Tribolium castaneum: one gene and its partner. The protein of the gene in region 2 binds, or shares a complex with, the protein of the main gene of each other region. Links are inferred from orthologs where the notes say so. Each region holds a gene or a part of one and is shown on either strand. Other genes may lie near its edges. The genes, in order: Trc8 and SCAP.

Region 1 (2,456 bases), on a different chromosome or scaffold from region 2:
ATTTTGCCATAATCAGCGTTTAAAAATGGAATTTTCGCCAGATTTCTCTTTAAATTTGGCACCGTTTTGAATTTTTCACACCGATTACTTAGGTGTTTGACTTTTTGTGACCATATTTGCGTCATTATCGTAGTTTTAAAAACGGAATTCAAATTATAGTAATTTTTAACCTGTTTTTGGCGAAAACTATGTCTTCGCAGTTGACAAAATAGGAAAAACCCAAGTTTGATTGCCGATTACAACGGTGCCGATGTTTTTTTCGTCTGAGCTTTTTAATTTTGCCGTAATCAGCGTTTGAAAATGGAATTTTCGCCAGATTTCTCCTTAAAATTGGCACTGTTTTGAATTTTTCACGCCGATTACTTTGGTGTTACAGTTTTTGTAAGAAAAACTTTTCAATGCTCAGCAAATAAGTTTACAACTTACAACGGCATCGGTTTTTTGTTGAAACACTTAATTTTGCCGAATCTGTACTTTTTGCGAGATATCTCATTGAAATTAGCGGCGATTAATCGGTAATCGGTGCAAAATAAAAATTTGGAATGTTTTTTGAGGTGAAAGGATGATGGGAAATAAGACGGCCACAAACTTAAAATAGCTTTTATTCTATAATAAATTACATAACAGCATATTCAGGAGTGCCCCAGTGACTTAAGTGTTTAGTTATAAAATTTCATAAATAACAACGAAACTGAATCAAGGAAAGTATTTACCGTCTAATCTGTACAATCGATATTTACAAGAAAAATTTAACATAAGTACCCTTTCAACAATCGTTCTGTCGGCTCACCCCGACCAAATCACAGACTCCACCAATTCAATCCTCGTCAAAGTCGCTAAAATACGCACACTCCGCGAACCCTAACTTAAAACTCCCTAAGATCACATCTTAAAATTATCACCTATCGTAATTATTCTCCTCCTCTTGGTCAGTCGGCCTCGGCTGATTCTGCTTCCGCTCATCACAGTCCATCCCGTGCAAGATCTCATGGCACAGCGGACACCGGTCTTGCACATACAGCCACTTCCTCAGACACACCCCGTGGAAGAAGTGCTTGCACCGGGTGATCTTCGCCGACCGCATCTCCTGGTAGCAAATGGCACAAACGTCGTCCAAACGCCTCAACTGCTCTTCCTCAGCCTCGGGCAAGCTCTCGATCTTGTTGACGGCCGTTCGCCGCTTCATAAACACCGACCAGCCGGCCTTGGCGTCGCACCAAATGTTGAAATAGGCGTGGATGCACATCATGACCGCGCGGATCGCGCTGCCACTCTCGAACAGGAGGATCCAGGCGCCGTTGAAGAAGAGGAAAATGCCGAAGCAGAATTCGACGGTGTTGCCGAACGCGCGGATGTAGTATATGTAGTCGTCCAGCTTCTCCCAGAAGGTTTCCCTGCGGGCGTCCAGCAGGAACAGGGAGTAGATGGCCAAGGAGACGAACACTTTGACTATCACTTCTATGCTGAAGGCTGACACTGCCAACAGCCAGGTGGAAGTGTCCTGAGTGGACCACAGGTAGTACATTAGGAGCAGTGGCAGTAGCACTAGCACCAGACAGACTAGCAGAGCGTGCAGGTGGCGCCTCAGTGACGGGTTGTGCGAAGCACTCAAACTCATCAGCAGAGGATTGACCACGTTGTGCACAAAGTGCAAAATTGCCGTGAACAACAGGCAGAAGTTCCGGCACAACCGGACGAACCTGATCTCCGGCTCGAGCCCGGTTAGGCCGGTTTGTAAGGCAAGGATGTAGAACACTATCGCCGAAACCGTCCCAAAATTCTTATCATTTTCGTCGTCACTTAACAACAACCACTGGAAGAACTTCCCGATGTAGTTGCACACGTAAGACACTATACTCGTGATGCCCAACACTGCGGTCAAGGTGTCACACCCCGTGACTAACAAGTACTTCATTAGCCGGAAGTAGGGCGTGTGGTCGTCCTCCAGGTCCCAGTAACCCGAGGCGAAGAAGATCCCGGCGTGTTCCAGGACGCGGAGCATCCAGAACGTCCGGAGGACTTCCGGGACGTTCAGACGCGTCCATTCCGTCTCCACAAGGGCCGACATCCCGAAATTCGAGACGAAAGTCCTCGCGTGTGTGTATCCATTGTAAAGGGTCTGGATGATAGGCACTACGGACGACCACAGGACGAATTTGACCAAAGCCAGGGGCAAGAGCGCGGAGAAGACTGGCATGTGGTTGAGGAGGGACGAAGGCACCGGGAGGATTGAGAGCATACTGGGGGCGAGGAATGCAAACGGGAGAATTTTCTGGAGGGTGGAGTAGCGAGGGCCGAGATGGATGTTGATGAAGATGAAGGAGAGGAAACATTGAAGGACGTAGTTTTGGAAAATTTGGAGTGTGATGCTTCCGTTTTTTGTGAGGTGTTCGATGTTGAGAGAGAGGATGCTGTCGAGGATGCTCGAACCGTTCTGGAAATCCTCGAGGAGGATC
Region 2 (4,400 bases):
GTTTTCGCTTTTGATGCTGAAGTTTTTGTCTTCTTCGGGTTTTTTCATGGTCATTTATTATTAAAATCACAGTTTTGATCTAACAATACAGGAAAATGTCCGCCAAGTTTCACACATTTGTAACTGCATCACTTCATGTTTAAAACTTTTTCGCCTTAAATTTTTTGTTAAACGATTTATCTATGCTGATACACATACCTGCAAGGCTGCTGGCTTTAGAACACTACAATGCGAACTTGAATTCGTAATTCTCTCCATTTAATCAAACTTAATGTATCTATACAAGACCTTAGGGGCCATGGAAGAAAATGATCTAATTTATCCATTAAAATCAATTAGTAGGTTTTATACGTAGGTGACATACTTAACAACAACTCAGATACAGGCTGTGCCGAAACTGAGTCAGATGTTTTGTTTCATTTTACACTACGTTTCTTATTTTCAGGTATTGATTGTCTTCTCATTTTTATCAAAAAATTCAGCAGAGCAGTGGCCGATAAATGATTACAATTTTGACACTGATTCTGCCGAGGTGGCAGATATAAATTATTTAAATAACATAAATAATTATGATAATAATAATTATGACGATTATGATGTTTGGGATCAAATCGAACATGATATACAGCTTTTAGAGGATACTGATGATTCTCTAAAAACTCGTGGAATACCAACTGGACACACAGTAAAAGCATCGAGTTGCTGCTTATTTCGAAATATTTTAAGTGTTTTGTAATTTATAGAGGAGAAATAAGTTAGGATGCGTAGAAAAATGGACAGTACACGATGTTCCAAAAATGTCAGAAGATGAGGAGATATATCCAAAGAGGTACCACAATATAACTTGTAAACCCGCCACTGGATCACACCAGGAGTCAGTCATGATGGGTTTTTGTACAGTGGTGTATAATCCAACGTGTGAAACAGCCTATCGTCAAGTTCCTATTTTTACAAAAAAACATAACTGTTGGAAACATACTCGCACCATTCCAGTGGAACAGGGATGCAAGTGTCGTCATCAGTAAACATCTAAATGTACAATAAAGGACTGGATTTTTCATAAATTATTTTTAACACATTTTTATTTGTATAAGCAAATAAACTTTACTGCTGAACAAACTTTCTTTTTTATCGAAATTCCCAAAATTCAGTTCCCGATAAAATTAGCCTAGTCTTTGAACTTAAGTTGGAGATATAAGGGGATGTTTATTGAAAAAAAACCGTAGTAAGCAGGCAACCAACAGTACACATTAATAAAAACTTGCAGTTGGCTGTGTGTTGCAACTAGTGCCACCTTCAGCTTATGATTATCAGTAATCGCTCACTGCAGCCAATCATTTTCTGCATGCGAAATTACATGTGTACTCTTATTTGTAGTTGTTGGTATTTATAAAAAATAATAGAGGCTTGCGCCCTGCGGCGTGTATTTTCGTAATTCGTCATCCTCAAGTGTATGAATGAGGTGTTTATCAATTTTTTGTAATAAAAACAATAGTTTAAATCATTGTGATGCTTGGTAATTGAATTAAATCAAGTCGGCAACGATGACAGTATCAAAGGTAAGTTGATATTCTTATTGCGAACCGCCGTAAACTGGTGTAATGTTTTTTGTAGGTTATGTAGATTCTTAATTCATTCTTTTTAAGATAAATGATTCATAATCATCTATTAATAAAAGTTATTATCGTGTGATTAGACACAGATTTAACTGTAAAAGATTAAGATTGGCCATTCCGTTATTTATGATTTATATGACCTTTGTCAATGCCCAGTGTAACGTAAGTTCGTAGAAATTGGTTACGTTGAGGTTATTTGGTTTTTGGAGGCGTAGGTCAATAAAGGACTAAACTGCTGAATAGATTCATTTAAGAATTATCTAACAATCACTTGGTGATAATAATTATTGTGCAAATTGTATTAACCTTGACTTCTGCTTTTCTTTATTAAAGATAATACATATATTATAACTGGATACACTTACATATTTTATAACTTGTTTTCCGAGAGCAAATTTTTTTTACCTCGCGTTAAAAATACCTCGAGTTATCTCCTTCGCAAAACACTTGTTTAGATTAGAGAATTTGTTCTTCCAAGAACTAGATTTAGCGATATTTGTTTCCAAAAAATAGGAATTTTCTCGAAATAAAGCTCAATAAAAAATCTACAGGGTGACACGAGTTGCACCTCCGACCTGACCATGCTTCAGGTTAGGCAACCGTTAGGTATTCTAAATAAACAATCAACAAAATCAATCGATCGAAGGTGTTTTTGGGAAGAAATAGTAGAAAAAGTGGCCAAATTCTGCATTAGTACTCAAATATACATTGCGCCATTGTTAGGTTTTGGGGTGGCTGTGAAACTGGCGCCACCCTGTATACTACGCTTTTTAAAATTTCGTATTTTTTTATAGATTTGGTGTTAAGAAGCGCCTCTCAAGTGACTTATTCTTTAATTTTGCATTTTTCGACTATGGCCAACGTAACATAGTAAATGAACACCCGTGGGGACGAACCCCGACCCAGGGGTACTTTCTGTGGAAAAAGCTCAACTCTTCAAGAGAAAGTTGCCCAATTTTATTACGCACATGGTCTGTTTTGTAGCACATATCCCGGGGCTTTGGTCTTCGTCGCAATTTGTGCAACTCTGCTCTCTTGGTAAATAATACAAACATTGCGTAACAATTCAAGGTTGTAATAGAATATCGTATGTTAATAAAGGCTTTATTTCCAGTTATCCATTATTAAATTTGCCTCTCCCTGGAAACTCGCCTTTGCAAACATGGACATCGAGCGTGAATTCCAGCTCGAATGTGCCACCTTTTTGCTACATTCAGCAAGTTGTGCTGAAGAGCACGGTCCTGCCGTGGGGCCCCGAGTTACACCTAGGTGACGCCTTCAGGGCGCCTCTTTACGAGGCTTTTAAACTTTTGGAAGCTGTTAGAAATTACCAGGATGAGTCCACGAAGAAAACGCTGGGACATGTGTGCTTACATGTCGAGTCGATTAGGAAAAGTAAATCAAACTACAAAAACATCCTGCCGGAGTATAGTTGTTTAGTCCTGTCGCCGGCTAACTTGTGGCAACAGGACGTCCTCAAATTTACGCAGGATAGCTCTCTACTTACCACAATTTTCAACCATCATGTAAGAATACGAGCTTCGCTTGTTCGTAATGTATATAAAATTTTTTGACTTCAGAACTTCCAAAAAGGCAAAACATCAATCACGGAAATGATGTTCGGTATGAAGGTGTTTGACACCGGGATTAAACGATATCCGTTGCGAAACCGCTACAGAATCATTCAGTACGCCATAACACTTTTTTTCAAGGAATATGACGAAAAGTAATAATTCGTTCATAGAAAGTTTTCAGACTTTCTAATTGAAATTGTATTGCAGGTTTGTTCATGGTTTGCGCAGAAAGCTGCAGTCGGTGTATTCCTTACACCAAAATTTGGAAAACGGAACAAATGCTAACTTTGCCACGCTCAACGACACTCTCATAATCCAATATCCCGGTGAAATCAACTTGGTCGAGTTCATTCCCATTACTTTGGCGTTTTTAATCCTGTTCCTGTACTTTTATTTCTCGTTTCGCAAAATCGAATTAATTCACTCGAAGCTCGGAATGGCCTTTACTTCCGTTCTGACCGTGTGTGCAAGCCTCACAATGACCTACGGCTTGTGTTTTTTCTTCGGCCTAACTCTGAACCTTGAAGGAAAAGTTGTATTTCCATATTTAGTGTTGCTAGTTGGCTTGGAAAATGTCCTATGTTTAACAAAAAGCATAGTTTCGTCGCCCCTCCACCTCGACGTGAAAATCCGCATAGCGCAGGGTTTGAGCAAAGAAGGCTGGTCCATCACCAAAAACCTCCTCCTGGAAATCACGATTTTGACGTTCGGGATCTTCACCTTCGTCGCGGTCATCCAGGAGTTTTGCATTTTTGCGGTCGTTGGTCTCGTGACCGACTATTTCATGCAGATGATTTTCTTCTCGACGGTTTTGGGGATTGACATCCGGCGGAAGGAGAACATGGTGGAGAGACACAATCTGAGCTTTCGGAGCAGTCTCTTCCAAAGCCAGGTTTTCTACGATAAGTCGTTCGGTATTCGGCGATCGAAGTCGCACCCGCGACTGTCCTCCTTCCCTGCCAATATCGTGGCAGGGCAGGTGCAGGGCGCCCAAGAGAAAAAAATCCCGAAACGGTTGAAACTTGTGAATATTTGGACCAGGACGCGGTTTTTCCACCGCGCTTTTATGATCTTGATGGTGATTTGGATTTCGAATATCGCCTACAATAGCGGCTTCATCGAGCATTTTATCCTGAATAACAGTTATTTTCACGAGGTGGCCGAACAAAATAGCACTAGCTTGGAGCAGAACTACTCGAGTATCAAGCTG

Evidence for each region.
Region 1: SCAP (region 2) and Trc8 share a complex: the UniProt entries of both Homo sapiens proteins name them as parts of the SCAP-SREBP complex. The link is inferred for Tribolium castaneum from reciprocal best matches to the Homo sapiens genes SCAP and RNF139.

What each region holds. Positions count from the first base shown.
Region 1 is NC_087395.1:24,734,659-24,737,114, reverse strand, and holds the end of Trc8 (protein TRC8 homolog), read right to left. Parts: coding exon 899-2,456; 3' UTR 587-898; downstream 1-586. UniProt on the Homo sapiens protein: E3-ubiquitin ligase; acts as a negative regulator of cell proliferation through mechanisms involving G2/M arrest and cell death.
Region 2 is NC_087398.1:6,299,970-6,304,369, forward strand, and holds the start of SCAP (sterol regulatory element-binding protein cleavage-activating protein), read left to right. Parts: upstream 1-1,319; 5' UTR 1,320-1,559; intron 1,560-2,410; 5' UTR 2,411-2,490; coding exon 2,491-2,654; intron 2,655-2,730; coding exon 2,731-3,142; intron 3,143-3,196; coding exon 3,197-3,342; intron 3,343-3,397; coding exon 3,398-4,400. Other genes in the region: fray (serine/threonine-protein kinase OSR1), read right to left, coding at 1-54. UniProt on the Homo sapiens protein: Escort protein required for cholesterol as well as lipid homeostasis.